Linked DNA regions of Arabidopsis thaliana. The protein of the gene in region 1 interacts with the protein of each later gene in a pairwise test. Each region holds a gene or a part of one and is shown in the gene's direction. Other genes may lie near its edges.

Region 1 (10,441 bases):
AGTGCCAAAGAACGAAGCTTGAGAGGTCTTTTCGAAGGGGTTTTAAGGGTTCTATAATCAAGCATCACAGTCCATCCATTTCCATCATCAGCTTCTCTAGTCGTCACTTTCTTGTAAAACCTCTTCCCTACGATCGAACCAGTCATGAAAGACGTCGGCATCGTCACTGAATCCGATTCGTTTTTCCGGCGAGAGTTCGGAGCTTTCACTAAGATGGGTTTCTCATTTTCCTTCTCGAATGTGAACGACGACGAAGATTCCGATGGCTGAGTATCGGAATCGGGTTGACGAGCGGCAGATGTCGTACATAAGGATCTAGCACGAATAGCAAGATTAGAGTTTCTCGCTGACTTAAAAGCTCTTCCGATTAACATCGCCGCCATTAATCCTCCCTCTCCGGTGACGAAAATGGGGACCTCCTTGCTTAGGGTTTTAGATCACATAGATCGTCAGATCCAAGCCTAAACGACGTCGCAATAACCCGGAGTGATAGTTAACCTCTACTACAATGAAGGTGTTTTGATAATTGTGATTATAATTACAATTTTATTCTATCTCATTGTAATCAGCTCTGTAATATAATATTTGTAAAGAATTTTTTGACAAATATCATTTGGGTTATATAGACAATCTTTTTTAAAAAAATTGGCTAAATTTAGTTTGTAAACTTTTCTATAATTTTCAAGAGTTACACTTACACCAATTCATTATGTGATATGTATTGTTTCATCCGTAAATTAAATAAACTAAAGTATTCTTACCCAAATAAGTAAATTTTATTACTCTAAATCCAAAAGTTTTGTTAATTAAGTGATCCGAGTCCCGAGAAAAAAATGATCCGAGTCAAAAATGCTGAAACTTAACTCAAAACGGCATCGTTTTAGCCGCCGGTTTCAAAACTTTAAAGAAAGAACGTAACCATAAAGAGCGCCAGATTCAGAGATAAGGCTCATTAAAATCACCTGCTTCACCCATCACGCTAAGATCGTGGAATCTTATATCACTAGACTCTCCCAGATCATGACACGTCATCATCTTCATCATGAGACCCATAATTTTTTGAAACTGTTTTATTTCACTCCCCAATAATATTTTCTGCTTTTAGCTCTTTTTAAGGCTCTTCAAAAATCTCCGTCAACGTCGAGAACAAAATTTGGAGAAATCGAACAGACGATCGAGATCGAGGAAAATGGCGTCGTGGAATTCGATTCCGCTGGAGATCTCGTACGAAATCGTTGGATGGATCGCGTTTGCTTCGTGGTCAATTAGCTTTTACCCACAGCTGATTTTGAATTTCCGTAGGAGAAGGTAATCTAATCTACCTTTTGTTCTTGAGATTTTGTTTCTATATCTGTAGTTGAAATTGAAATTGATGAAATCTTGGTTGTGTTTGGGAAAGTGTTGTTGGATTGAACTTCGACTTCGTGATGTTGAATTTGACAAAGCACTCGTCGTATATGATCTACAATGTCTGCCTCTACTTTAGTCCTGTTATTCAAAAGCAGTACTTTGACACTTATGGCGATAAAGAGGTTTGTTTCCTCTTTCTCTCTGTTATTCATTGAAGCATTAAGCATTTAATGAATTTGATTGTGGAATCTAGAAATGAGTTTTGTTTGGATTCTAAGATGGTTCTTGTTGGCTCTTATCTTCATGGTTACAAGTTTACCTTTACTTATTAGCTAATGAAGTCAAAATTGAAGATAAAAGTTTGTTCCTTTCTAAGTTTCAGCAAAAAAAAAACGCTTTAGATTGTTCGAGCTGGTTTAATTTTTTTTGAGTCGTTTTGTTATAATTGTTGCTTATTTCAGATGATACCTGTGGCTGCAAATGATGTTGCATTCTCGATCCATGCAGTTGTAATGACAGCTGTTACACTGTTCCAGATCTTTATCTATGAAGTGAGTAATCAAGTTTCTTAGGCTTGCCTTTGTCTCTTTATCCCATACAAGTGTTCTTTTTTTCCTGATGATTTCTAGTGATTTGCTCTCAGCGTGGACCTCAAAAAGTATCCAGACTTGCTATAGGTATTGTGGTTGTTGTGTGGGGATTTGCAGCTATCTGTTTCTTCATAGCATTACCTACACACTCTTGGCTATGGCTCATTTCAATCTTCAAGTAAGTTGTTGCGCAAAGCCTTCTGAACCAATTCTTTTAGTGGTAATCTAACAGTTTTGATGATAATGGTTTATTTGTTCATTGTTATAGTTCGATTCAGGTCTTCATGACATGCGTCAAGTACATCCCACAGGTCAGAAAAGATTCCAAACCTTAATTTTTTTCATTATTGATTGAATCAGCATTACTCAGATTTTATGTGTTTGCTTCACAGGCAAAGATGAACTTCACTAGGAAGAGCACAGTCGGGTGGAGCATCGGGAATATTCTTCTCGATTTTACTGGAGGACTTGCTAACTATCTGCAAATGGTTATACAATCTATTGACCAAAGTAACAATCTCTTCTCTATCACATCAATAGCTTTTGTTTTCTCTGATAATAACATTTTGAAAGAAAACTAAAACTATCTATTTCCTTTGGTTCTTCCAGATTCTTGGAAGAATTTCTATGGGAACATGGGAAAGACTCTTCTCTCACTTGTAAGAAAATTGATGGAGTTTTTTTTTTGGTTCAATTCTCTCTCTGTCTCTAATAAACGTCTCAAATTGTTTTTAACAGATATCAATATTTTTCGACATCCTCTTCATGTTTCAACACTATGTGTTATACCCAGAGAAGAAAGTCTCAAAATCTCCGGAAACTGGTGAGGAATCGAACGAACCACTCATTGATTCTTCTCATGAACATGTTTAAAGATCAGATTCTCAAGAGTCATTAGTTTCAGCGTTCCCACTGTATATGTTTATATCACAAAAAGGTACAAATGTGAGAACTCTTCAGATTGTCGTAATATCAGTCTAATGTATCAAATCAATTATCACAGAAACAGCAAATGTATAATACAATGTTCGATCTTGGGTTATATTTTAAGAAACAAGATGAAAGTTAATAGAGCACGATCCATTACCCATAGTAGTGCATCTACTAGTAGTCTTAGGCACAGCATAGAAGAGTTATATCTATGCAAGATCCAACCAAAGTCACTATGGTTCGAGGGGTACCATGAACCATCATCTTCTTGGCAGCGCATATCGATAGGGTCTTCTCTAAGGTTCCGTTTGCGTCCTCTGCTTTTTCTACCCACTTCTCTAATCTCCAGTTTTCTACTTGATGCATCGCGAGCTGTAGTGTACCCCATAGGAGTCCATTAACAGTGAACACCATCCTTTCTTGTCTTGTTTCCATACGTATCATGACCAGAAATTTCTATATGTATATCACTCTGTCATGACAAACTTTATTTCTCAAGTTCATTGATAATACATTTGGAACATGGAAATAACTTAAAACTAAGTAACTTACTTGAAATTGAAAAGATAGTCAAACTTTTTTTTTGTCAACTTCATAATTCTTCATTAAAAGTTTGCCAAAAAAAACAGTCAAAACTGTAAAACTCATTAGTTCTTTTATGGTAGAAAAGTTAAACAAAACAGTCAAAGTTTTTGAAACATTTATCAATAGTATTTTATGGAAGATGGTTAATATCATTTGACTACCATTGTAGATCATTAAAAGCAAGATAGCCTCTATATATATCTTAGTAACTTTTCTTCTAATGATTGTATTACTGGCTCTGCCTCATCTTCCTAAATAACTAAATCAAACCAGGATTCAAGTGGGAGGCCAATGCAGTCTTCACTTTCAACTTTCAAGGTATAGAAATGTAGCATATCTTTCTAATCAACCTAATAACTATGTGATACATTTTCTACATAATCACCAGTTATCTTCACCATCGGCACTTTGCTAATAGCGGATTATTGAAATATTTTAATACAAATGCATACACTTCCATATTATAATTAATGATGATTTATTCATATTAGTTTTTGTGGTTTGGAATCTACAGCCTAAGATGTCATTGATGCTACAAAAAAATCAAGCTCGTGGAACTAGAGCAAGCCTGAGCCAATTTGAGCCAAGAAAGCTTCTGATTGCTAGCACTAAACCCACCATCCCTGATCTGAATGCTGAACCTTGTTCCGACTCGGAAGAAGAAGAAACAGTGGAGAATCTCACAAGTCTTGCACCTCAAGATGCACACAATGGTCTTCCTAAGCTTATGTTCGACCTTGAGGTCGAGATCTTTTCCCGTCTTTCATGTTTTCAATATTGGAAACTAAATCTTCTCAACAAGCAGTTTTCGCAACTGCTACAAAGTCGTGAGATTTTTAAAGTGAGACGAGAACGTGGACTTGTGCAACCATATGTGCTTATGTTTTCGAGCGGTGAAACTTGTTGGGTAATGTTTGATAAAGGTTTCAAGAATTTCCGACAACTTCCAGAAATTCCTTCTGACTTTTGTTTCTTTTATGGAGATAAGGAAACGATTACTGCGGGTACGCATTTGATAGTCATCGGGAGAGAGGAGAAGCGTATTGTGGTGTGGCGATACGAACTAGAGGTAAACAAGTGGATCAACGATACTGAAATGATCACACCGCGGGTAATGTATGCTTCCGCAAGCCGTGGGACCGATGCATTTTTCGCTGGAGGAATCAAGACAAGCGAAAACGGGGGTCCTGATGTTGTGAACGTTGCTGAAAGATACAACTCCGATACAAAAACGTGGAAAGCGATGAAAGCAATGCACAAGCGAAGAAAATTTAGCTCGGGATGTTTCTTGCGGGGTAAGTTTTACGCTCTTGGTGGTCGAGATGAGAATGATGTGTACCTTACTTGTGGAGAAAGTTACGATGAGTTAACAGATTCATGGAAGTTGATACCAGACATGCTCAAAGGCATGACTTTCATGAATCCCCAATCCCCTCCACTTATTGCTGTGGTCAAGGACAACCTCTACTTGCTGGAAACATGGTTGAACGAGCTTTGGGTTTATGATATAAACGCAAACGTTTGGAAAAATCTTGGAGTTGTGCCTGTGAAAGCAAATGCTGCTTTAGGTTGGGGAGTTGCATTTAAGTCAGTTGGAGATAGGATTTTGGTGATTGGAGCTTCAGTTACTAAATCGTGGGATAACAAAATGTCAGTTTACACATGTTGCCCATTTCCAAAAGTGGAAAAGATTACTTGGGAGGAGACTAGCTGCGATTGTGTTCAGCTCGGCCATTTTATCCGTAACTGTTGTGTGATGCTTGCTTAAGGTTTCTGAGCAACATATATTGTGTTTCTGTTTTCGTTTTTATGTTTATGTTTAAAATAAGTTTTGGCGATTATGACGCCAAAACATAAGTCAAATTGTTGTTATGTCTCTCTGTGTGTGTGTGTGTGTGTGTGTGTATGTGTGTTTGTTTCTCTGTTTTGCTTTTGCGTCTTGGGTTTAGACGGCAAATCATCTCATAGAAATAAATATTTGTCGTAAACTTGTATTCCGATGTTTTGTGTTATTTATTTAAAAGTCGTGTTTATGTGCAAAAGATTACTTCTGTTTGTGTTTTTATAAGCTTTATTTACATAGTTTTGTGGTTTCCTCTTTGGCCATAAACTCAAGTTGTCAATTTGTATTGAAATTTGTTAACTGTTTTCAAGTGGCCTAAGTTTTATTTTATAGTGTCGGTTAGACAATCGAGTATCAAATTTAGTTTGAAGAAGTTTTACTAAATAAAAGATTAAACATATACAATGTGGGATTAGCGTGTAGTTTGGTTCTTTCCTTTTGTTTTTTGTTTTCTTTTTCTAGAAGAAGACAAATTCCAATAATTGAATAGTGGAAGGAAGTTATCTACACAACTCATTTGGTTTGGTCCACAAGCTTCACTTTAGGGAATTCGTCTTGACTTTTGACTATTCCTTGTCCCGCAAGTATATTCCTCTTCTTGTTATATCCTTCAAGCAACCTTTTTTATCATTTCACATCTTTCTTCTTCCTTTTTTTTGTGTGTGGTTAAGGTCTCATCGATCAACGGATAAGATGAAGCGTGAAGGCAAACAACACGGTATGGTGAGGACTTACCGGATTCTGCCTCCGTCGCTGAATCCAAGGCCGGAATCGAAGTTGGTCAACCCTTTGACTTCACGGCCAACCGCTGGATTATTTACCAAAGTGACATCAAAGCCGACCAATCACTCGAAATTCACCGGGAAATGTGGTCAAGCAAGGTGCCTTGACTGCCATATGCACCCGGTCACCAAATCTAAAGCCAAGACTAAAGGCTCTTCAAAGGTGAGAACAAATGATGTCACCTATAAGATGCTGACTTGGCAGGTCGCTGCCGGTGGGCCTAGACCCGGTTTGAAGCTTTCCGGGTTCTCGGCTACCGGAATACTTGATCTTATGTCTGATGATTATGGTTATGATCATGATTATGATTATGATGAAGAAAATGAAGAAGAAGAAAACAGAGGGAGTGTTGTAGAAGAAGTTGTGAATATACAGAGTAGTGATGATGGTGGTGAAACAGAAGAAGAAGGGTCAAATGATGATGATGATGATACAGATGATGATGGAAGGATGAGTTTTTGTGATGTGGGGATGATGATGATGATGGATCATGTGGAAGAATATGATGAAGGATGGTATTTGGTTGAAGAAATGATGACTTAACTGATCTCTCTGATTATCCCCCAATAATTGTCTTTCCTTTTGCTTTTGTAAATTTTATCATTTTTAATAACTTGGGGGAATGAATGATTATTTCTATGTAAATGTGATTTGATTCTTAAATCAAAAACTATGATTTATAATTGTAATTTATGTAAAGTTGAAACCTTTTCTCAACAACTCATTCCCACTCCAAATCAGAACAGAGGTTCAACTACTACTATTTATCATTCTTAATAACTTGTGTTAGTGTGATTTGATTCTTAAATCTTGTTTTATAAATGAAATTAATGTAAAGTTGATACCTTTTTCCATTCCAAATTAGAAAGAGAGGTTCCTGCAATCACATCTCAATGAAGAGCAATATAAAACTTAACATATCGAATTCGAATCGAGTATAAAGACTATGAAAGAAGGAGAAAGGTTTTTCATTGAAGATGAAGAAGATACATACATACAACAAAAAGGTTCACAAAGATACAATACCAGAAAAAAGAAACAAACGTTCTTCTGATATTCACTTTTTTCTTGCTACTGTGCACTCAAAGATTCTCTTTTTTAGTTTTTTACCACTCTTGAATCCTAGGACAGATCAATCTTTCTACTTGCAAGTGTTTTCAGAGATTCCTCTTCTGTGTTTTGGTGTTCTACCTTTGTCTTCCTGCTTCTGTTTCCCCAGCCATCTCGGGTTTGAAGCAAAGACATAGAAATGGTTTCTTACTCGTCTTTCTCTGCTGAATAAACACAGCTAGTGTCAGTATTCATATTACTAATGGAAATGAGAAAAGGCTTCTTCTCATGATTTTGTTAAAAGTCGAAATCTTACCTTCTTTATAGTCAGCTTTTGATCTTGAGTTTTAGTGTTTCCCATCAAACAGCTACATCACAACAACAGTATACAATTAGGATAGGAACATCAACTCAAATACACATTGACTCAAGAAGAGATAACAAATCAGTCTTACCTCAAGAAACCGAATCTAGGACGAACTGGTTTTTCGCTTTTCGTCAACGAACTATGAGTTATCGGTTTTCCACTGCAAAATTACAACATAAAACAATCAGATGGAGGACAAATTCTAGACAAAACAATCAAAGCTGCTTTTGTTACCTTATTTTCAGTGAGAAAACAAGCTCCATTGCTTTGTCCGGAGTTTCAGAAGTTGCTGATTTCTCTATAGACAATCTAACCACCGATGAGTTCTTGGTTACGGATTTTCTCTCTTCTTCTTTCTCTCCAACGAAACAACTCTTCTTCACCAACTCTCCATCCTCAGAGTGATTATCTTTCTCTTTATCATCATGAATAACCTGCAAATCATCTTCTTGTTCCAAAACCGCAACATTTGTTCTTACTGGCTCATCATCTTTCTCAATACTCAACACCAACTCTTCACTACTACTCAAGACTAACTCAGTTTCATCACCCTCTTCTTCCTTAACCTCATCCTTAGTCAATGTCTCCAAAGTGTTAAGCAACACCGCAACACTTTCTGGTTCTTGTTTAGGGTCAGAATCAGATGATTGATCTGAAGCTTTTGCTTTCTTTGCTTCAGCTATTTTCTTGTAATGAGCTTCAAAGAAAGCTTTCTTCTGAGCAACAGATCCAGGCTGAGAGAACTTCTCAGCTTCATCGACATACTTCTTATGCGAAAAACTTGACCATTTCCCCCATTCAAGATTCTCTGTCATGAATCTACCAAATGAAACTGATTGACTAAGCGCATGCATCGTATTATCCTGCAACAATCCAACATATCAAAATCAGAATCTTACCAAAACTCAAAACCAAAGTTATAAACTTTCTGGTGAATCAAACTGTTTCCAATCAAACCCAATTCAGATACTTTGAGTAAAATCAACATCAAGATTCATATCTATCAAGCTAAACCCTAAAGTTTGAAACTTTACATTCAAAATCTCCCAGAAACCATCGAATTTTCCCAGGAATCATAGAGAGAATGAAACTAACCTCATGAGATTCATTACGAGAAGGAGGAGCTGCGAACGAATAGGAATGAAACAGAACAGCAGATTCAGCCATTGGCCACAAAACCTCAAAATCGAGAACTTCTTCGTTGGAATCTCAAAAGGAAATAAATAAAAATCGAAGCGTTTTAATGGGTTTTCTCACCGAAACGGCTATAAAAGAATTTTTTCGAATTTTAAAAACTTTTATTTGTCAGCCCTAAACACATGTTTTAGGAGACGATCTGAAGAACTTTGGTTGAGATCTGGGTCCCACGAAACAGATAAAACTCAGAATATCTTTTTAAATAAAGAAGATACTCAATTTTGAGTTTTTATTTGAAAATTTGATAGGAATTTGAGAAACTGAGAATAAATTATGTATCAAAGAAGTCTAACAAGAATGAATGATTCTGCTATAGTTGTTGATATGAAGTGGCTGAGAATTGCAACAAGAGAGAAAACGAATTTTTTCTGGTGATGAAATATTAAAATGTGAAATGCTTTTTGGGAAAAAAAACTCTGTAATTTAAACTGAATTCTGAGTAATTTTTTTTTTTAATTTTTAGATATATCAACGCGTTTAAAAACTATTTTAGTTGTTTTAACTAAAAAAAATGAATCTGATTTTCTATTAAAAAAAACTTTATATTAGTACTTATATGCTTACATTTGATTTTTTTTGGTTAAAAAAATGAATCTGATTTAGGGTGTGAATATTAGAGTCATTAGAAAGACTAAAGAAATAAAATTGTAGATAAGTTTGGAGAAAAGTAGCCAAAAAAGAAAGAAGAAGAAATAAATACGATTTATTAGGGAAAACTAATTAGTAAGTGATTAGCGTTGGTTTATGTAACGGTAGGTGTACTTTTGTAACTCCAAATAAAACAGCTTTGAGTTACAAAAGTGATGTTGTTAGAATGAATACATTACACTTCAACCCATCACAAAAGCAACTACTTTTCTTCCTTTGCATCCAACAATTATTTAATCATATAGCTGAAAATATTGATTGCTTCTCTCCCATAAAAATAAACAAAAATGTATATTAACTCTTTTAGCGTTTTACTTTAAAACTTTTTTTGGTCAAACAAAAGATTTTATCATCGCTTTTATATCTCATAAACAAAATGTATTAGATTATTTGTCATCGTTGAAACTTTAATTCTTTCTCCTTCTTTAGAGATTAACCAAAACCAAGTTGAAGTTTTGGTTCGTTTTTTTTAATTCATATTTCTAAATTTCAAAGATTTTATTCATTATAGAATTAAAAAAAAAATTGACAAAGTAATAGTGAAAATTTCAGAGTAAAGCCTTAAATAATTATTTAAAAATCCAACATTTGGTGGCCTTTCAAAATATTTAGAAGTTTTGGAAAAGGGTATAGTCCATTATTCAAAAAAAGATTAAAAAATCAATTGAAGAGAAAATAGTTTAAAGCATTTAAAGGTTTGAATGAATTCTAACCAAATGTGTACAAAAAAAATTCATTATTGTATCTTCATATTTTTTAGTGAAATTAAATAACATTGGATTTTTTCCTTGAATACAAAAAACATCCAAATCCATTAAAGACTAATATTCAATAACACCACCTATAAATTCTTATGTTTTGAAAATAACCCCAAACTATTTTTCTTTCTTAACCCTTAAAGTTTCATTTTTCATATATTACACCAAAATTTGAAATCATCTTCTTTGATTGTTTTTGGTGTGAGCGAAGATGGGAAGATCGAATTCTCAATGCCCATCTCATTGGATTCTCCTCTGCTTCTTCATCTCTTCTCAGTTTTGGGGATTCTCACTTCCCACTTCGATAATTCAACAAAATCTCGAGGTGAAATTTTTAGGG
Region 2 (11,162 bases), on another chromosome or scaffold:
TCATCAGCACCTATGAATGTCCCTGATTGGTCCAAGGTTTATGGTGACTCAAAGAGCAACAGAAGGAGTAGCCATTTGCATTCTCATGCTGCTGACGATGATGATGAAGATGATGATGGTTGCATGGTTCCTCCACATGAATGGGTTGCAAGAAAGCTAGCAAGAACACAGATCTCTTCTTTCTCTATGTGTGAAGGAGTTGGAAGAACACTTAAAGGAAGAGATCTAAGCAAAGTGAGAAATGCTGTCTTGTCAAAAACTGGTTTCTTGGAGTAAGTAGGATAAAATATCTCATCATCATCATCACCATAATTATCATCCATGTGCATGGAATATGAATCCCATAACTCTTGTTTAACATTATCATCATGAAAAACTCAACTTTATGGTATCCACATCATCATCATTATCAATGTCATTGTCGTCATCATCATGTGGGGATCACTATACCAAGAGTCTTTTTGTTAAGTTTTTTTTTTCTTTATTGTTGTTATTATTTTTCAATGTGTTATTTAGAGTAGATAAGTATCATAGTGATGATGATGACTTGTCAGCCCCATGCATGGGTCCCGTTTTATGTTCTTCTGTTGTTTTTGGTTTCTCTTTGAAGGTTTTTTTATGATCTTAAATTAGAGCCTAGAGAGGGGCATCTCCTTTAGAACCTTTAATTGGAGTTGAGTTCTTTACCATGTTTTGGTGAAAGATTTTGTCGTTTGCTATCGACAATGTTATATATAAATTAGATATCTTTCTTTCTTTGTTAATATTAGCTATGTCCATCTTTGGCTAATTATGTATTTGGCAAATCTGCTACTAAATATCATTAATTTAGCCGATTTCATGCAAAAATAAATAAGCCCTAAAATGCTGAGTTTCCAATTCTGAAGACATTTTCAACCATATCAATCGATCAATGTCATATATTCACATATCGAAGGTGTACATATAAAGGATTGAATCCATGATTTTCCTTTGAACTCTTTTATGAATAGTTTTGAATGTTTTTTTGTTTGATTATAGTTATAAGATATTTAATAGCGGTGAGTGAACGAGACCAAAAAAAAGGTGATTAAATGTAATAAACTTTAAAACTATGGGATATCGAGAAGAAAATAATGTAACGAGAAAACATCACATTAGACTTCAATAATGCTTTTAAATATAGAAAAAGGATTGATAGTAGAAGCAAAGATTTTTATATTGGTATGATTAGTAGTAAAACAACACGGTAAAAAAAAAACAGTAGGCGAACCAAATAGTTAGATTTTGATTGGTAATCTCGTATGGTTGCAGTATTTTACCGTTCTAAACTTCTAATTATTACTAGTGACGAAAACGTTGAAAAACGAGATTTTTAAAAAAAAGTTGTAACTATTTTTTTTAACAAAAAAAAGTTGTAACTATTTTGGTATTGTTTATTGTTTTTTTTATATACCTAAAACCTCTAACCTTGTTTTTTACCAGTCTTACTTTTGACATAAATAAAAATAGTGGTTAGAAATAGTTTTCAGTTCTGCTGCTTTCTTACCCTTTTTATGTCTTTATGATTGGTAATTTGGTATCAATCGGAACAAACTAAAATTGTTAATTGTAGTCCTTAGTCCTAATAGTTCGGTTATCCATTCGGTTTCAGTTTGTATCTATTCGGTTTCAACTTTTTCGGTTCTAAAGTTTAGTATTCATTTGGTTATTTTGAAAGTTTGATTCGTATCGGTTTTTTCAGTTTTAAAATTTAATATCCATTCTATTATTTTGCTTTGAATATTTTTGGATATTTCGGTTATTTTGGATATTTTCGATCATTTTTGAATATTTTCGGTTATTTTTTCGAGTATTTTTACTATTTTATATATCTTTTCAATTATTTTTAATTATGTAGTCTAAAAATAAATAATATTTAGTATCCATTTAGTTTTGGTTCTTTCGGTTCTTTCATTTATAGAATTTAGTATCCATTCGAATATTTTCCAATTTTTGGTTTGCTTTGATTTAATTAGTTTTGCTTTGATTTTGATTCGGTATATTCGAGTTGGTTTATTTGTCCACGCCTAGTAGTCCTGATCATGTAAATGACAGAAAAGCCCAAACGAGATCCAAACCTATAAAGGCCCAATAAATAGTTCACAAACTCATGACCACTACAATCCAACGACGTCGTATCATCTCGCTGACGTAAGATAAGCATCGTAACTAATTAAAATCCAAGTAATAAGTTTGGGTGCCGTGCAGGTAACAATCACTAAACCCTAAATCCATCCTCTCTGTTTCCTTTATATATATTCTCTCCTTTTTTCATTTTTTTGATCCTCTTCTTCTTCTACAATCAAAATTCATTTTTTTTTCCTCTGATCATCATCGAACCCTAGTTTCGTCTTTTGGGTACGTTTGATTTCGCCTCTCCACTTTGTCAATTTCGAGTTTTTGTGGTTTGGGTTTTTTTCCCGATTTAGCCTAACAGATAAAGTTTCGAGTTTTGTTTCTCTTAATCATCGTAGATACTAACCGAATCATCATGGAGAAGAACTCCTTCAAGCTTTCTAATCCTCTGGGTTAGTTTCCTTGTTTCTTCTTTTTTACTTTTTGCAATTTCTGTAGGGTTTTTGCTTGATTGATGTCACTCGATAAGCGTTTAAAGGATAGTTGTTTACTTCTTTGGTTTTCTTCGATCTTTTGGGCTTTGGATTGTGTTACGATTATGATCTTTGTTAAAGGAACTCAAGTTTTGATTAGCCTGATCACGAGTTTGTTGGTTCTGATTCTCGATCTCTGATATTGGTTACTCTGTTTGTATTCTCCATTGATTTACATTAACACGATTAAGTTATTAGACCTAGTTTGTTGTTGAATCTATAAAGATTTAGTACTTGTGCCTCTGGAATTTTCCTGGAAGTTACTTGAATTACATGTCACTAAGATGTGTTCATGTGTTTGTATAATCCGTTAGTTGTGACTGATTTTTTATGGTTTTGTTTTGGTTTCAGAGATGAGAATGGCTGAGTCTACTCGTATCAGAGCGAAATACCCTGAAAGAGTTCCCGTATGTTTTCTAAACTCTCACTTTACGGAACAAGATTTACAGTGTCACCCTAAGTTTCTAATTAGAGAACTCAATACAGGTGATTGTGGAAAAAGCTGGACAGAGTGATGTTCCTGACATTGACAAGAAGAAGTGAGTAATTTGTTTTACATATTATCTCTATCTCTCTTGTTGGATCATAATGGTATCAAATCACAAATTAGCTTTCAATCTCCTTTGAGTCTAATGGAAATGTGATATGATCCGGTAATCCTTTTAATCACTAGCTGATGAAATTTTGAGTCTAACTATAGTTCTCATTCTTCAAAACTTGTCCCTTGGTACAGTTTAGCAGTTTCTAGATACAGAGATTGAATTGCATAGCATTATTTTTTGCTGGTTTTGATGTTTTTTGCTGACACCTGTTTCTTCTCTTTAGGTATCTTGTACCAGCTGATCTAACCATTGGCCAATTTGTGTACGTTGTGAGGAAAAGAATCAAGCTTGGAGCTGAAAAAGCCATCTTTGTCTTTGTCAAGAACACATTACCACCAACTGGTAAAGGATTTTAACACTTTTTAAACCTTGTGTGAATCTTCTACTTCTATGGTTCATGTATAAATATGGTTTCTCTCTTTTCTGGTTCTTACAAACAGCGGCATTGATGTCTGCAATCTACGAAGAACACAAAGACGAAGACGGGTTTCTCTACATGACATACAGTGGAGAGAACACATTTGGTGGATCTTTCTACTGCTAATTACCTCAGCTTCTACGTCTGATCCTCTTGATGATTGTACATTCTCGTCGACCTTAATAATGTCATTTTACTTTCTTGGTTTAACCTTTTGAGCTCTCTTACTATCTCTTGCATTTGAAGATGGTATTTGAAACAAGATTCTAATTTGACTCTCTAGTTTCTTTGTTTTGTTTCCTCTGCATCTTCTCTATTGCCATTGAATAAAATAACCTCTATAGTAATATCATCATCAACGTTGATAAGTTCGTCTGATCAATTTACTAATTAGCTAAATTGTCTAAACCGAAGAAAAATCCTAAAATTGAATTAACCGAAAAAAACCAAACCAAACCAAGCACAAACCAAAAATTGAATTGGAAAATTCGAGACTTATATTATTCTCTTGGTTCTACGGACATGGACCGAGTATAGCTTCTGATCTTGCGACTGTTGCTGTCTCCGCCGCGAATCGTTCTCCTACCTTCGTCAACTACACCGGCAAGGTACGAAGCTTTTGTTATACTCTAATTAGATTTGTGGTATCTTCGTGAACCTTCAATTCAATTTAGGGTTTCTCAATTCGATTACAAAGATTCGTACTTGATTTGTTTTCGAATTGCTGGACGAGTTTGTCTTATTGGGAAATGATTTTAGTAAATCGTTGAAGAGAAATCAGGAAAGTTGAATACTTTCTCTCTTAAAGTTTTGAGCTTTTTGGATTGTAAAATTGGACTAATGGAGAATTCAATTCTGTGTTAGAGTTGTTATCATGAAGAAAGGTTTGATGCGATGGGATGATGATGATGATGATGATGATGAAGACTCTTCTGAGGAATCATCATCGTCTTCTGCTTCTGATTCAAATGTGGATAATACAGAGATTGGGGAGAAGAAGAAGAAGAGAAAGAGCAAGAAGCCAATAGGTAGGAGAAAAGCTTCATTGTTTTAACTTTGTGAGAGCTCTTTTATGTAACTTTGTTTTTTTTTTTACGGTTGCAGCGAGGTTTGCGAAGAAAGATAAGAAAGCTTTTGACTATGAATCTCTGCAGCAGCATGGTTACAAAGCTGTTGGTCTTTCTGATATTCCTGCTCCCATGGAGAAACAGGATTGGTCATGGACTACGGGAAAGGATAAACAAAGAGTAGAGGAAGTGAAAGAAAGTTATCAAGAACGAGAAGCTACAAGAGCTGCTGCGGTTACTGGTGGCGAGACGATTGCGAATGCGCAGTTGCGGAATGATAGGAAGAATCTCTCTTTTTCACAGAAGGAGAAGAAGAAGAGAGATTTGGGACAAGCAAGTAGAGGCAAGAATTATGTTGAAGAAGAGAAGAGACAGTTGAGAGAGAGTGGTGTTTACTCTGGTTTTGACTCTTAAGAGACTCAACTTTGAGGTAATGTCTTTGTATTTGATGGTAATTTTATATGAATGTGAAGAAACTAGAGCTTGAATTCTCTTAGTGTCACAAATTTGTATGGAGAATAATCAGTTGCTTAGCATTGTTTACTCGTTCTGATTCCTGAAGATCTCAGCTTTGAAATGTATCTTAGTGTTCCTGAAGATCTCAGCTTTGAAATGTATCTTAGTGTTCCTGATCTCAGCTTTGAAATGTATCTTAGTATATGATGATAATTTGATATGAATACGAAGAATCATGGTCTTGATTTTCATGGAGAATCATCAGTTTCTTAGCTCTATATTCTCAAAAATGAATGCAAAGAAGAAACAGAGGCTTGATTTTAATAGACACCACACATTTACATGAAGAATCAACACTATCGCAACTTTATAAATCTTACAATACTGCAATTACTCAAGCTTTGTAGCAGAGCTTATCTCTGACTTTGTGATCCAAAGCTTTGAATTGATTCTCCAAACACCAACTTCATCTGTTCTAGCAATCTGGAACGAGACGAAGATATAATTCTTATTCCTCATAGAAATGTCGACTGGTTTTGTGGTTTACTTATCGGACAAGATTCAAGAACGAAGTCAAAGACTCAACATCTCTCTTCTCAGACGGATACTTGATCGGTCTCGATGAGTTCTTAGGGAAAACCAGAATGGTAGGGAAGCTACCGAGCTGCAATTCCTGCTTAGCAAACTCCTTCTGGTCACCATCTGCTCTGAATTTGGCAACCTTAATCCCACTTCCAGCCAATTTATCCGCCAGTTCATCATACGATGCTTCCATGGCTTGACAAAAGGGGCACCACGGAGCATAAAGCACGACGATCCAAGGCTCTTTACGGTTCTCCAACTTCATCAAATTCTCAATCCCCTGCCTGCTCAAAGTCACAAGATTCTCACTCTTAAAGATATCTGCAACAGCGGATTTCGATTCCCCGTTCACTTTAGCATCATCGGAGTTTTCTTTGACATTCCCTTTGTGAAGTCCACATTCCTTGGCTTTAGCATCTTCCCACCACCATCTCCCTTCTCTCTCGTGCTGACCCGGTAAAACCGCTTTCGTGCAAGGCTCACATCCAATCGATATATACCCTGCCGCATGCAATGTGTTAACCGGAACATCCATAGTCCTCAAGAAGTTCCAAACATCATTCCCTTCAACATTCGCAACCGGATTCCACTTCACCAAACTACCAACTCCACCATCCAAACCTTCAAACACCGGATCAACCTGAACAACCGGAATCTCAGACCTTGTCCCCGGAGATTGATCTTTCCTCTGACCAGTAATCCAAGCCTTTAAACCCTTGAGAGCACGCCTCAAAGGTCTCACCTTTCGAACACGGCAACACTCCTGATGACCATCCTCATAAAAAGAGAACAATCCCTTGCTCCTAACCAAACCTTGAACCTCAACAGAATCAGGAAACATATACTCAATCCTAATCCCATAGTGCTTCTCCACCGCATCGAAAAACCGATACGTCTCAGGATTCAACCTCCCTGTATCCAAACTAAATACTCTAAATGGCCTCCCAGTCAAATGAGCGTACTCAATAAGAGCAACATCTTCTGCACCACTGCAAACACACAAGAGCCAAAACAAAGATCAGCAATCTTTCTTCAAAAGCTATCAAAAAGCAAACTTATATCAAATCTCATGATCGATATATACCTAAATGCAATGGCGATATCGTTCCCGTATTTCTCAAGAGCTTTGTCCATAATCTCAAGAGGTGAAGCATTCTCTAACTTCTTAGCAAGCTCTTCAAAATCCTCAATCTCAACCACTTCAACTTCCTCTGCAATTTCTGCTACCATTGTTGCCGCAAGAGGAATCATTGAATCCTTTGTCTTTGGTTCAGCGTTTAAAGGTTTAACAGATGATGATCGCTTCCCAGATAGATTCAGAGACACAGGAGCAACATGAACACGATCCAATAACCTCAACGAACCAATTTGCGAAACTGTAAGAAACAAAAAAAAATCGAAACTTTTAACAATTCATACCCAAATTAATCAAATTTCTTGTGTGATAATCAAAACCCACATTGACCCATCAAACAATTTCTCAGATTTCGGACGAACAAATTGAAATTTCTCAGAATTGAAAGTAAATTATACCTTTTGGCTCCAATGAAACACCGAAACGAGAGTTTATGATCCCAGAAGACGAAGAAGAAGAAACATTTACAGACATTGCCATCTTCACAGCAAAAATTGGATTTTTGTTTTCTCTAAGATTTGTTTTGATTCTTCGTTTTTTATTTTCAATTCAAGATGATTTGTGAGAAGCGTGGCATTATATAACAAAAATACGAAGAACCAGGTGATTCCAGATTCATTGAACCTGGACACATTGGTTTGTTTTTGGTGACTGCGAATATTCTGGTCCAAGTTGATGATGTGGCAAGTTTAATTGGATGAATTTATTTTTAAAATCATCTCTGATTTGAAGGTAGTCAATTTTGGCAGAACCAATCAATTTTTTTAATTATCTGTTTCCTTTTTTCCACATGTTGGAATCAATTCACTAAATAATTTTTTGTTCAAATTTTTTAAAATTTATAATTAAATTTAATCCATATAATTATTTTAATATTGGATTACCAATAAAACATTTATTATTAAAACAATATTCTCTCTGTTCTTTTTAATTGATTTTTTAGAAAAAAAATTGTTTCAAAAAGATTGATTTTTAGATTTTCTATGCACTAATTATTAGTTATTAATGATAAATTTTAAAGTTCAACACAAATAATTAAATATCATTGATTTAGAATTATAGAAAAATATAAATCACAAAAATCGATACATTTATAATCAGTTTTAATATGTTTTCTTAATATGTGTGTTTTGTTAGAAAATCAATTAAAAATAAACAAAGAGAGTAATAGCTTGTAATATCTTAAGTTTTTAAATAAAAAGTCATTTATCAAATTTTTTTTATTATTATGAATCTATGATATACTCTTTTTTTTGATAAAGATTTTATACATTCTTCTCTTTTAAATGCAAGCATTTTTTAATAGAAACTTTTGTTATTTTTCTGGTCCCATATCTTAATTTAAAATATACTTATCAACAATAAATTAATATATTGGTAAAGTTAATTACATAAGCTGAAACAAGTTAGGTGATTCACCTACCTATACGTTATAATGCATGTGGCAAAATGAGAGTAACACATGTTTGTTTGTTTGTTTTTTTCTCTTCTTGTAATAAAATAAGAAAATAGCTAATTTCTGATGTGTGAGACTCATTTCTAGAAGCTTTAAAAGAGATTTATATGGATTGGTTAAACGGTGATAGAATATATAGTTTATGCTTAAATTAGTGGATAATTAAATTTAAACACTATCTAATAAGGATCATAAAAACAATTATCATCTAGATGTAGATAAGATATTAATATTTTCTAACTCCTTTTTAGGATCATTACGATAATTTGTTTTTTTCATCAAACACCATTTATATTAAGTTATCGGAAAGAGACTCTCCGCTAGAAAGAATCATTCAGGAACCGATGTGCTTACATGGGAGAAAAGGCTATTACGAGCCCGAGTTTTCTTAGCTAAACAATCTGCTCGAGTATTAGAACTACGAGGAAGAAATCTAATACGAAAAGAAGGAGAAAAATAAACTAAGGAGCGATAGGATGTCAATTCCGCTGCGAATGTCGGCCAATCTTCTTGATTGTTAATGATAGAAATCAGGTCTGAACAGTCGGAAGCAAAAGCGCCAGAAGTATCGCTAATAGAGATCATGCATTCTATTGCCCATAGCAAGGAATAAAATTCCGCATGAAGCGGTGATAAACTTCGTCGAGCACTCTTGAGGCCAAGATGGAGGACTAAGTCTTGTCGAACAAGGACCCAACCATGTCCGCTTAAGGGGTCCTCTGCAATGAATAACACTTTTTATTCTGAGGTATTCCATAGCCCCTGATCCATCTTTCAATTAGTTTTGTTGGCTATTGGGCCGAATAACAGCAAGTCCTTTTAATAGAATATTAGATTATTAGTGTATGGTTTGGGCTTTCTTCATGTAAAAACCATTGATCCATCTTTCAACTAGTTTTGTTGGTTATTGGGCCGCATGATACATTTTAGCATTTGTTCTACTCTTCTCGGGAACTAAAAATGAAATCAATATACAAATAGTCTTTTTTTGTTTAATAAAATTCTATCAGCTGATCCAATCAGTTCTTCTAGAAACGGCCCAAAATGTTTCAGATTGGACTTCTTCCTGAAGGACCACCACACATTTTTGACTATCAGGTGAACCAATTGGACCAAGGTCTTACTAACATATTTCCTAAACAAATGTGATATACACAATAGTTTATAAAAAACTTCTATCAATCTTTATACTTATGGTCAGATTCCGTTTATAAAAATAGGAAAAATTATGTGTTAAGAAATGTATTACCAGTGTCATTTTCTTGATAATTAGTCCATTATGATTCAAAATTTCTAATTTAACTCATCAATCTTATAAAATCAAAACTTTTGATCCATTTGGATAAAACGTTCGGATTGGCCCATATCACTTTGACACTGATAGAACAATTGGGAAATCATGCTCACACATTGCATGCTGCAATTCACAAACCATTTGAAAACTGGTTTTAGCTAATAAAACTATTTCGGTCTAAATAAACCCGTTAGGTCATTAGTAATTTAGTATCCATCAACAAAACGGACATGGCCGGTCCTAAACAGAGCCTCGTGAAACATTGACTTTGGGCCTCTGATTTGTTTTTAAAATTTTACAGTATAAAATAGGCCCAAATTATTTAATTTTATAATATAAAGAACCCATGTTTTCTAAATCTTAGGAAATAACCTCAAAAACGTTTTTTGTAACTTTGGTTTCCAAAATTTCAGGACTAGGCAGTCCTAAGCACAACTCTGAAATTTCGTTGTTATTGCAATCACCGGCAACTCAATAGGTCGATGAAAGAAAATTGCATAAAAGCTTGACAGTTTTTCCTTTTATACTCCGATTAGCTTCACCGAAAATTCTCTCTTTCTGTAACTCTGGCTAACCCACGTTAGCCCAATTACTATTTCAATTTCTTATTGGACTGTAATCTTTTTTAAAAGAAAAGTCTATAGAAACCACACCAAAAAAAAACCAACAAATAACAAAAGAAAAACAAACATAGACACGGCACTTTTTTCCGACGCGACTTTTGGATGATAGAAGTAGGAACGTAGGATATGTAACGTGATTATCATGCACATAGTTAATATCTTATGAATATCATTAACAATTATTTAGTATTAATTTTAATGTTTATTTATTGTTTGAGAACCGATAATAAATTGTTTTTAGTGGTGAGATCGATATTGGTATTATTAAAAAAAAAATTTGTAAAATCAAAAAATAAATTTATAAAAACATAGAATTACAAAATTACTGTAAAATTATGTCACATAATCACGAAAAGCCTGCAAAATTACTTACTCGGGGAAAATGTAGCTAGTTAGCTAAAACAGTAGAAAGACTATCGTGAATTTTCTTTTTTTATAGAAAAAAACGAATTTTACAGATGAATTATGAGCATCCACATCATCTGATACTTAATATCAAAAGAATCACTACACTGATACAATATCAGATCTAAGATCTAAGTCTATTGTTTAATCTATTAAAAAATTATTTAATTCTTGATAATCTAAATATATCACCTATGTATATGATCTAATAGCTAAACCATGCTCAGTTTAGTCACTGCGTGGGATTAACTAAAATTGCTATTAGACTATATATTCCGGTAAAAAAGTAGATATATCTACTACACTTTATTTCCAAAATAGTATTAAAGTCATTCATTTTTTTTTCCGGTAAACTGACAAGAAAAAATTAATACATGCGTTACGAAGAATAAAAAAAATGCGACGACGATGTTGGAAAAACGTGATGATGTAAGCGCCTCACTAAAGAGTTTCAGATTCTTTTTTGTCCTCTCGTTAGACACTTAATTCTCTTG
Region 3 (11,353 bases), on another chromosome or scaffold:
AAACAAAATTAGGGTTTTCAAACGATGAGATTGAATCGAACCAGGAGATGGATGAGAGAACTTCGAAGCGAATTGGAAAATAAAAACTTGATCGGAATAAAATTGAATTTTGGCAGAGAAGTTAGAGAAAATCGCCTAATTATTGATATAGTTAACTTTGAGGCCTATTGAGCCCATTGAGCCCATTAAGTGATATTTTAATAATCAAAGGCCCAATAGATCTGCTTTAGACTGATGCAACGTCAACAACAGTAATGAATCTCTGTTTCAGATTCTTGTTGAGAAAATCTGTGACACATGTAGTATTGTTGATGCTACGAATTTGTTTTAGCATCAAGATAAAAGTGCTAGTAAATGAAAGATTATTAAGTAACTCTCAAAATTAAAGTGCTTTAAGAACTACTAAGTACATGTTCCAAAACTCTTATCTATTTATTTTCTTCTTCAATGCAAACTGTATATACACCAAAAACAAGATTCTGCACAATATCAGATAGTGAACACCAAAAACTAGTTTTCTATTCAGCATTAAGGTTGAGCCAATCAAACTCATTCTCTGGTAGCTCTTTTTCCTCTTCTTTGACTCCTCTCTCCACAATGACGTTGATTCTCCACAACACAATCTTACTTTCCCATTTCATGCCTTTTGATTGCATACAGTCTCCAAAGCAGACCCTTAATGAATTTGTATTGGCTCGTACTATACCATTCCAATTGTTTCTTCACGATGCTTTCCACATCTCTGAAACCTCTCTTCACAAGCCCAACTTCCATTTCTCTTTCCATTAGCTCTCTTATAGAATCTATCATCTTATGTGCAATCTCCTTAACGGATTCAGCTTTACTTGACATCTCTATCAAGTGAATTGCTAAACAAAAGCCACCCATAAACGCCAAGACCCAGCTACTGTTATCTACCAACAACTCTCTTGGTGGGTCTAGCCTTGTGATTATCTCTAGGAAAAGATTCTCCATCACAGGAATCACAAAATCGTCGTCAATAAGTGCCATTGTTAAGCACTGGAAGATATAAACCGCTCTATGAAACTCTGTTTTACTCGATGCAATATAATCTCGTAGCTCGTACCATGTCTCCTCTTGGTAGATCAACATCTCATATGCAACATGGTTCACCACCTCACCTAGGACTTTGAACATACTGTTAAAGGAAAGTCCTTCTTCCTTTAAGCAAGAGATGAGCAATGGTTGGAGTTGTCTCATCTCTGAAATGTCTATCTGCACTTTCTTTGAAGTGTGATCAGAGAGTAAGACATTGAGTCGTCTGATTGCTATCTCTTTGGACCTATCTTCAAGTTCAGAGGACGCAAGAATCTTTAACACTTCCAGTGATGATAAATCCTTCAAAATGTCATACCAGCCACGTTCAAACTCTTCTCTACGATTCTTAAGATCATCATATGGTTCTGTCACCAACATTTTGATCTTCCTCACAATCTCCTTTGTCTCTGTTCCGACTACTCCTTCGATCTCGTTCATGGAAGCCAACACAAAATGGAATTGGTCTTTAGTGTAATGATACAGATTCATGTCTCCTGAGAAGAAACTCTCGAAATCTTCAAGCCCTCGTACCAAAAACTGTTCTTTTTTCATCTCCACTAGCTTCTTTACTGAATTCACAACAGAGGAAATCCAAATCTCCATCAACGCCATTAGTAACTCTACTGTCACCCCTGTTTTCTCAAGCTGAATCCACATTTTAACAAAAGTTTGTAAAGCCAAGCTCCAATCTTCAACTCTATAAGGATAAAGAAAGACATTACTAGCTTCCTCTAAAATTTTGTCCAAAAACTTGCCGATGAAACTCTTGTAGACTGGTGGCAGATCGATGAAGACGTGAAAAGCCTTGACAGGTTCTTTGCTACTCGCTAGGGATAAGATACAATCACCGAGCTCGTCCCATTTGTCTTTATGCAACTCCACGACATTGTAAGTTACAAAAGACACGATTTTCCTGAGGATCTTGATGTCAGATTCTTTGGTTTCTTGCATTGTAAGGCATAAAATCAAAAGGGGTTTGATTTCATAGAGAGAGTCGAGAGAGAATTTGGAAAATACGATTTGATTTTTCAGATAGGTGAGGGTCTCAGAGAGTTGAGAGATTGATCGGAGTCTGAGAATGCCACTGGAAGAAGATTGATAGACTTTAAGAAGCTTTAGGGTTAAGCAACCTGGGTTACAAGAAACGCAGATGTCGTACAGCGCACGCGATGTTTTATACTCTTCGGAGTCTTGACGCTTAAAGAGATGATCGATGACCATCGCTACTTCTTCATGGCTTTCACTAACAAGAATCTCTCTCGCTTTCAACATAAGATTCAAATATTCCTCCATTTCCGGAAAATTTGGGATTTGCGTTTTTCTTTGGTTACGAAACTGAATATAAACCGGAACTAACCGTATGTTTAGTTGAAATCATTCAAAATGGCTGTCGTATATTTTTAGAATTATGGGCCAATAACTCTTCTTCCCACTCAGCTTCATAACCTCTATATCCACCATCATCATCCTCACCACGAACACTATCATCTTCATCATTACATTTCTCAAGGTACCAAGGAGGCAAAGTCGCTTCACACCTTTACCAGCAACACCATATCCTAATCTATATTTGTCCTCATCTGCATTATTATAACTTATGACTTTAAATGAGGTTTGGTTTCTCTCTCACCAATGTATCACCCAATTTGGATGTTTTTAAGGGGTAAATTTCAACTAAAATGTAGTCCAAGTTATTAATGTTTTGGTAGAATTAATCGAAATTAGAGACATCAGAACAGCTAACATCAATTTGGATTTTTTTTTTGTTCGACCCTAACAGTAAAAACCATTCATCAGTGTGGTAAATGTCGAAAATGTATTACGATTAGAATTGATACATTCATCAGTTTGGTCAAAAACACCTATCTTCGATCGATATTTTTTTTACCAAAACGAAGTTGATGTAAATTGTTGGTTGCAAGTTGAGTTCTGACCAATAAAATTGGTAGAAATTCTTTGACCATTTGTAAATTGTTGGTTGCATGTTTATACTGAATTAAACATTTGCTTCGAATATTTTAGACCAATAAAAATGGTAGAAATATTTTGATCGGTTGACATTTTTGACCGAGAATAGTGGTCGAAAACATCTTACCAAAAAGTGGTCAAAACTTAATGACCAAAATAATGGTGAATATTATTTTTTACCAATTTTCGACCATATATTTCAATCTGACTAACTTATATACAAGATTGGAATATAAGTATAAATCAAAATTCAATTTAATTCTTAAATATTTGATTCATAATAACTTAATAAAAATAAAAATATAATTTAAAATACACAAAAAAACAATACTTTTATACAAGAAATCAATTTTAAAATTATTTGATTAACAAATTTTAAAAATATTTGAGTTTTTGTTTTCCTTAACAAAGTTACCATGTGACTAATATATCTCTCCAATCTTAAGAGTTGGAGTTTGAAACTCTTCTTAACAGAAAAACTCTTTCATGAATGCGGTAAATCTGGAGCTACATGTATAGGTATGTGGAATGCATTTATATCAACCTTAGGCACAAATAGTGAATGCTTCAAAGCAATCCAAGTCTTTGAGAACATTCCTTCCACCTTGATCAAAACTCACTCAACATTTTGGAACGTGATGGTAACTTGTACACATGCTCGACAAACTGAGTATGGGCATTATCTTCTTGCAAGGATAGTCAAGACTCTATGGATAGAACCAACTATTGAAATAATGGGGACATATTTAGACGGCTTGGCTAGAGGAAAAGTGATTGATGAGGCATAACGAGTTGTCAAGACTTTGATTTTCAAGCCTAACTAGGAGATTGCTGTGAGTCTTTTATCAAAGTACAAAAGCCATTCAACACCCATTGAGTTTGCTAAACGTTTTGTGAGGTACCTTGAAGAGAAGAAAGTCACCTTCTACATTGCTGGAACGACTTATAAGGTACTAGACGAAGATGGGGTGGAGTGGAAATCTAATGTCAAGATTAAGAAACAGAAGAAAGGAAAATCCACAATCCACTCCCATTAGAGCAGTTCAAAGTACTATATATTGCTGCACAGCTAAATCATTCGTCAAAGGCATTTCTTAACCATGCTATTTGACCTGAGGTTACGAGAGTAAGGATATAATTGTATTGATTGTTTTGAAACAGTGAAATAAACATGAAAAAGTGCAGTGAAATAAACATGAAAAAGTGCATACTCCCACATATGTGCCCCATATGCTCTAACAAACTTGATAAGTGTCATACGTAGTGAGATACCCTTATATTTTTTTTAGCTTTTTATATACTATTGCTTACAAACCTTATTAATATAGTTAAATAATTAGGGTGGGCATCGGTTTGGATTAAGTAATGATTTTGGATAATGATTAAAAAATAATTTTGATTTTTTTTTCAACTTCAGAAAACTCAATCTTAACTTTTAAAAATGTTTATGTCTTTTCACAACTATAATATTTTATATCTATAAGTAAAAAACTTGTTAGAAAACTTATCTTACTTTGATAAAAGATTCATTTTGATTAATTATCTTTGTTATCCTGTAAATTCTCGGTTTTGACATTAATCACTCAATTCCGGTATTTTAATAAATTACAAAATGAGTTTTGTGCAGTGTTGAAGATATATTCTCAAATACAGTAATTGCTTTCAACCCTTGATTTCGAAATGCCTAAGCTTGAAATCCTAAGCTGTCCATACACCAAGACCTACATCTCCAGATCTCTATAACAGTCATAAAAAAACTTCTGCCTATACTTTATTTATTAGTTTTCATATTTCCATCCGTTTATTTGCAAGGCCCATTACTGCACTAGGCCCTACATTTTGTTAGAAGAGGCAAAGCTTATAAGCGACATTCTCAATTTCCAACTATTACCCTTCCGAACTCTTCACCTAACACACATTTTCTAGGGGTAAACGTGTCATATCGTATGCAGAAACGTGATCCCAGCATATCCGGTTCTTCTTTATCCTTTGTTGGAGGCAATATCTACGTAGACAGTTACCTCGTACACCTTCAGTAAAATGGACGGTTGAGATTCCTATTTCAGTAAATAGCTAATATCTACCGTCAGATTCTCACTGAACAGATTAAGCATACAACGTCAGCTGAAGTGTTTAGATGTTACCATACACCATCTGTAGAGAATCTCTGACCTTATCGCATAATTTTTTAATGTTTTGCAGAATTTTTGTAGGTTGCTTATTTGCTTTTTCTTTCATATTTTTTCGTTAATTGTTGTTGTTATCTTCAACGATAGCGTTGTGCTCTGGAGAAGTGTTTGATCGCAGAAAAGCTTCGTTCTTTGTAGTCTACAGGTTTGATCACTGAGTTCTTAACTTCTTTTTTGGTTTGATTGCGATCCTGTACTTTCGTTTAGATTACTTAAAGGTTGGGTCTTTAACATGATCGACTGATAGATTTGTGGGAATTTTGATAATCTGAGTTCCAGAGTTTGGGAATTGATGATTTGATTTGAGTGTTAAATTTGTTTTGATGGTTGTCTGATTGGTGTCACCTATTTGTTATGTGTGTGTAGGCGTGGAAGGAATGGCAAAAAGCTCGTTCAAGCAAGAGCATGACTTAGGTTTGGATTTGAGCTTTGTTCTTGCTTTACTGTTTGGTCCTCGAAATCAAAACCTTGTGCTTTGATCTAATGATCCTGTTTCCTAAATCTTCAGAGAAGAGAAGGGCAGAGGCTGCTAGGATTAGAGAGAAGTATCCTGATAGGATTCCGGTGAGACTTTCAGTGTCTCTCTTATACATTGATCGATCATACATTTCTAAAGTTATATGTGATTAGCATATTGTTTCCCTTTCTATGTTCGGATCAATCTTTTGTGTTTGACTGAGTTTATGCAGGTTAAGTTGTTGTGGTTTATGGCCCAGCAATATGGTAGTAATGAACTTATTGGGATATAATGAACTTATTGGGATAGCATCTGGTTTTAAATGGACACCCTACCCGACTAAAGGATGGTTATCAAGTTATTATTGTTTGATTAGCTTCATGCTTGTGATATATGTTTGCCACTGTTTCAACTACATGGAGTTGATTGAGTTATAGTGACTATAACAACATTAGGACTTTGAATTTAGTTGTCATTTTTTGGAACGTGACTTTCTGAAACTCGATTCTTACTGAGTACTTACGGCTTAGATAAGTAGATTTGCATGATTCATGTGGCTACGTGCTTTATGATTCACATGGTAAAAATGACACTTGAGATGATGATTTCCACGCATTTATATTTTTGTGGGATCCAGGTGATTGTTGAGAAGGCTGAGAAGAGTGATATACCAACCATCGACAAGAAAAAGTAAGCATATAAATGGCATCAGTATCCTTTTCATTCGGACCTGACTTGTTAATAATAGTGATTGATAACTAAGCTTTTTTCAAATTTGCAGGTACCTAGTCCCGGCTGATCTGACTGTGGGGCAGTTTGTGTATGTCATTCGCAAAAGAATCAAATTGAGTGCAGAAAAGGCTATCTTCATATTCGTGGACAATGTTCTTCCTCCAGCAGGTAAACAGATAGATCTCCTCTGTATTCAAGACTCAGGAGTTTCATTATCTTTTAACACAAGTAACAAGAGCATAAGAAGGCGTCTACTTATATGTTCCCCGGTGATTATAAATTCTTTATATTTGGCTGATCTGATCTGGTAACTTTGCAGGTGCGCTCATGTCTTCTGTGTACGAAGAGAAAAAGGATGATGATGGGTTCCTCTATGTCACTTACAGCGGAGAAAACACATTTGGATTTGGATCTCCATAATAGAGACCTCTTGCTGGATATTTCATTTTACTCCTCTCTATTTTCACCAAATATTTCATCTTCTTATTAATTACTAAGCAAGCAAGCCACCTATGTACTTATTCTCTAAGGACCTTTGGTCGGGCGTTAATATGTACAGAAAACATAAAATAATGTATATAATCTTCTTTCAAGGATCTAAAAACCTACTTTAGGTGAATCTATCACATCTCCCTCTTGACTTTGTTGTGTTTTTTTTGATGTCTTCAATCTATAAGCCGACATAACACGTCGCTTATGGCACATGGGCCATGACAGTTCCAAATTGCAAAGCCTAAGTGAAGAGAAGTTATATCACCAAACTCAATAGAAGTGCAAGCACAAGGGAACTGTGCCACGTGGCAGACATGGTCGGTACCGGTTGAAGGTTGGCCGGCGACGATCTTATAAAGGTCCCACATTGTCGTTGACGGAGAGAAGGAGGAGACGGTCGGACCATGCTGGCTTGTTTCTCATCTTACACTTTTCAATATTGATTTTTGTTTCATATATTTATTTGTTCACAGTTTTAGCTCGATTTATGATCGTCAAAGATTGTAATTCAAGGTTCCAACCGGTCACGTGGAACATGAGAGACGCGGTTGTGTTTTTGGGATTTTGGACCATTGAAGTGAAAGTTGAATGTAAAAGCTTTTCATAACTTGTGAGTGTTTTGTCCAAAGAAATCAATGTCAAATAGTGTAGTGATAAGAAGGTGATCGATTAGGACTTAAGAGAGTAAACACGTCGGTCATACAATAATGGCGTGGATGAAAAAGGTGAAGAACCGGAGAATAAGGTGAGCAAATGGAAGAAAGGAAAATGAGAATGCAGGAGATGATGACCCCACGAAGACTCTCAAGTAGACAAAAGGTTTGGCCGATCAAGACACCCATATACATACGATAGATATGTATGTTGAATGTAAAATATATTTGAATAATAGACAAGAGAGAAGATTAAAAAGAAATAAAAGAGAAGAGGAACAAGAGCATGTTATGATAATGAAGGACCCCTCCCCCCACCTGTATTTAATGCTTGTCTTACTCTCTTTACTCTCTTCTGCCTACAAATACTCTCCTTCCCTCTTCTCTTCTCTTACACCAATTAACAACATTTCAAACTTTCTTTGTCCTGCTCTAGTCTCATCTCCCTGTATACAGACACAGCATATATACACAAGTATCTCAAGAACAAGAAGAAGAATAAGAGAAGTCATGTCTTGCTCTTTGAGGAGTGGACTCGTGATAGTGTTCTGTTTCATTCTTCTGCTTTTGTCTTCCAATGTTGGATGTGCCTCTGCCGCTCGTCGTTTAAGGTCACATAAGCATCATCATCACAAGGTTGCTTCTTTGGACGTCTTCAATGGTGGAGAAAGGAGGCGGGCGTTGGGTGGAGTCGAGACAGGGGAAGAAGTAGTAGTCATGGATTATCCTCAGCCTCATCGTAAGCCTCCGATCCACAACGAGAAGTCTTAATTACCCGATCCATATATACCAGTCTCTCTAAATATATCATACTGTTATATGCATATGCATTCACCATGTTGGTGGTTGTAATGACTCTTGTGCTATCTCTATATATATTCATGACCAACTTCTTTGTTCTCTATTTCTCCTCGTATACAACAAACAAGGTGCTTCCTATTAATTACTCTGTTTCTTATGGGTATTGCATAAAAGATTTTCAACATTTGAGAAACAGAATTGTGAAAATTCTTCATTAAGCTTTGAATGTACAAGAGATCTTAAATACAGAAACTAAACCGAGCCTGAAGCTAAATCAACAATAACCAATCTAGAATAATCGACATGTAGACTCAAATAGATCTCTTTGCCGCCATTTTAGCTCCAAGTAGCACGTAACAAAAGTATCATTACAAAGAATACCAATGTGTATAAGAGATAAAAACCTTCATTGAAGCTAAAATCTTAAAGCTAAGCCTAACATTTCATAACAGGGTGATAAAAATAGTGTTATACATATTCCTGATTTCAACTGCAAGGAACAATGAATGGTTTCACAAATTCAAGGAATTCGGATGTTCTGACACCGAGCTTCAGATCGATTTCTCCACCACCCAACCAGAAGAAATCCGGTTTAAGTTTGGTTATAGCCTCATCCAATATAACCTGACATTTCCCAAAGCCCCCCCCATCCAACTCGTCAGTATCAATATATCGAAAGTTTATTTCAATTCAAAGCACGATTAGTCTGAATATGCCATGGAAACTCTAAACATGAATTAATACTAAACTCCATATCTCCACTATGAATGAATACTTCGAAATACCAAGTCAATCTGCACATATCCAATTGAGATCAAGTAATTCATCATGAGAGCATAAGCAACCTAACTAATTACCCTAAAGGGAAACTCATTTACTTAATTACTGAGGTCTAAAGATGATATTGAAAGACTCATGTGTCACAGTAGCACAAATAGTGTGTTGTCTGAAGTGGGCCAATTCCGGATAAGGAAAGGAAGATAAACACATCAATGCAGTAGGGTACGTGCCTAAGATTATATATACACAGACCAAAAATAACGCCATTTAAGTCTCTCTGACTGACACCAATTACTAACTCTCGCACTTGTAATGCAAAGAAGGTATTGAACTGTAAAAACGGAGGTTCTAATTTTTTACTATCAACGGGGAAAGTACTAAAGACAATGAGTGGGACAATCAGCAGCTGGCTCACACGGAAACTCTTAACTTCTGCTCTGTACCAATTCAAATTGTGTTATAATGCACCACACCCTCCTGTACAGACTAAGAGAAACAAAACAAGGCCAAACCTAGCTGTGTAACTCATTAGGCACTGGAACCTTCCGGGCCTCTAGGACAGGACAATAAACTATAGTGTCTGCAAAACGCTTGGCAAGAACATGTGTATGAAAGGGAAAACTCTCTGTAAATATTTCTCAATACAAAATACAACACGAAACTGTTTGTCTAGGAGAAGAAAACATAAGTGGGTAGAGGTTCCTCTCATACTACTCCTATGTCTAATATGTAATTAATAGTGTAGAGCAGCATTGAGCAAGCACGCCCAAAACATGTCAATAATGCATGATGTAGAAAAGTTGGCCAGCTTCAATCAAACAAAGATTTTTAAACCTATCACAGAAATAACGGTGTGGAAACAAAACTTACCGGTATGTTTGTCTTCATACCAATACAGGTTACCCCATTATGCTCAAACCCCGTCAATTTAATCGACGTCTCCTCAGGAGCAAGTCTCACTACACAGAGGTTAACACAAGCCTCAGCATAAAGAAGCAACATATCATATACACTTCAATATGTTAACAGATCATAGAAATAAGAAGCACTAACGATTAAATCTTTTCTTTGGGATCTTGCCCTCGTTTAGTGAATAAAGAAACTGCTTCACTGCTTCAGCATTGAATCTAGCAGTATACTACCATAAGTAAAATAGTCAGATGAATACGATTAAAGACGAAACAAAGGTGAAAATGCTATTCTACAGGAACCATGAGGAGCACCTGAACCACAACCACATAGTATTTTGAGTTGTTTGGATCACTGCAATCCAAAATATTTGATGCAGCTTGAGTATTAACCTGTAATATAGTCAGCATCTAGTGAGGAAACAAACACAGGCACAGAGATTCAATGTGTAGTGTCACAATCACATATCAACGAAGATTTTAAAATTGTTCCATAAAATACACTAAATCCGATAGAATTCAATTATATAGCAATTGAAGTACCAGAACAATACTCTTGCAGAGATGGTCGACTGAGGAAGCGCCGAGAACGTCGCGACGAGATTCGAGAGGCCAGTCATAGTAATCGGTAGCAACTCTCTTGAAGCAGAAGTCGTTAACGCCGCCGGACTGGAGAATGGTGGAGAGGCGAGTCACAGTTTCGTTTTCATCAACCGGTAGAGAAGGCGACGGAGCAGCAGAGGAATTCTGTGGGAGAAAAGAGCTCTCAAGAATGGAGATTTTGTGGAGGATTTCAATTTGGAGTCTCTCAAGCTCTGCCGCTGCAGTTTCCATGCCTTCTCCGTCGTCCATTTCGAATTGCCGATCGTCGCCGCAGCAAAAGTTTTGTTTCGTTTCTTACGTTTGATTTCGTAATCATCTGTGCTCGTGTCTACGGTAAATTAGAAAGGAACAGGATGATCTGAGCCGTTGAATTTGTCTTGCGTCTTGTGGAAAATAAAAACTCTGGGCCAGAACCAGGCTCGGAAAACACTAGACGTTATATGTAGATATTGGCCCAAATAAACAAATATGGGCCAATTTAGTGTTGTGCCAATAACTATGGTTTATGGATGATTAATCCGGTTTATGGTTTGATTTCAGTTTGCCTTTTTTGTTTTTTTTTTAGAAACTAAAATTATATAAAACCATTTGTAACTTGGTTTTCGAGTTTGGTCTTAATTTAGAATTAACATTATATTGGATACTGGATATTAATTTAGAGAGATTTAAATGCAATAACAAATCAATTTAACCACGGTTTGGGTTTTAACG

What was found.
Region 2: the proteins of AT5G40690 (region 1) and ATG8B interact in a two-hybrid assay, tested with the Arabidopsis thaliana proteins (one large-scale study listed by BioGRID).
Region 3: the proteins of AT5G40690 (region 1) and ATG8F interact in a two-hybrid assay, tested with the Arabidopsis thaliana proteins (one large-scale study listed by BioGRID).

Annotation. Positions count from the first base shown.
Region 1 is NC_003076.8:16,284,779-16,295,219, forward strand, and holds AT5G40690 (histone-lysine N-methyltransferase trithorax-like protein), read left to right. Parts: upstream 1-5,607; 5' UTR 5,608-5,991; coding exon 5,992-6,624; 3' UTR 6,625-6,935; downstream 6,936-10,441. Other genes in the region: AT5G40660 (ATP12 protein-like protein), read right to left, coding at 1-383; AT5G40670 (PQ-loop repeat family protein / transmembrane family protein), read left to right, coding at 1,190-1,308, 1,400-1,532, 1,812-1,901, 1,994-2,118, 2,209-2,251, 2,333-2,450, 2,550-2,599, 2,679-2,813; AT5G40680 (Galactose oxidase/kelch repeat superfamily protein), read left to right, coding at 3,976-5,223; AT5G40700 (transcriptional regulator ATRX-like protein), read right to left, coding at 7,269-7,355, 7,448-7,499, 7,587-7,658, 7,733-8,361, 8,594-8,665; AT5G40710 (zinc finger (C2H2 type) family protein), read left to right, coding at 10,313-10,426.
Region 2 is NC_003075.7:2,321,277-2,332,438, reverse strand, and holds ATG8B (Ubiquitin-like superfamily protein), read left to right. Parts: upstream 1-1,848; 5' UTR 1,849-2,379; exon of another isoform or gene 2,380-2,495; 5' UTR 2,496-2,512; coding exon 2,513-2,549; intron 2,550-2,981; coding exon 2,982-3,037; intron 3,038-3,116; coding exon 3,117-3,169; intron 3,170-3,455; coding exon 3,456-3,574; intron 3,575-3,672; coding exon 3,673-3,776; 3' UTR 3,777-3,997; downstream 3,998-11,162. Other genes in the region: AT4G04630 (senescence regulator (Protein of unknown function, DUF584)), read left to right, coding at 1-276; AT4G04614 (uncharacterized protein), read left to right, coding at 4,525-4,678, 4,755-5,131; APR1 (APS reductase 1), read right to left, coding at 5,721-6,744, 6,840-7,131, 7,289-7,370. UniProt on the Arabidopsis thaliana protein: Ubiquitin-like modifier involved in autophagosomes formation. May mediate the delivery of the autophagosomes to the vacuole via the microtubule cytoskeleton.
Region 3 is NC_003075.7:9,302,354-9,313,706, reverse strand, and holds ATG8F (Ubiquitin-like superfamily protein), read left to right. Parts: upstream 1-5,168; 5' UTR 5,169-5,361; exon of another isoform or gene 5,362-5,582; 5' UTR 5,583-5,593; coding exon 5,594-5,630; intron 5,631-5,724; coding exon 5,725-5,780; exon of another isoform or gene 5,781-6,217; coding exon of another isoform or gene 6,218-6,310; coding exon 6,311-6,363; intron 6,364-6,454; coding exon 6,455-6,573; intron 6,574-6,724; coding exon 6,725-6,825; 3' UTR 6,826-7,368; downstream 7,369-11,353. Other genes in the region: AT4G16530 (uncharacterized protein), read right to left, coding at 625-2,352; RGF6 (root meristem growth factor), read left to right, coding at 7,878-8,321; AT4G16510 (YbaK/aminoacyl-tRNA synthetase-associated domain-containing protein), read right to left, coding at 8,838-8,975, 10,002-10,090, 10,185-10,269, 10,355-10,432, 10,583-10,891. UniProt on the Arabidopsis thaliana protein: Ubiquitin-like modifier involved in autophagosomes formation. May mediate the delivery of the autophagosomes to the vacuole via the microtubule cytoskeleton.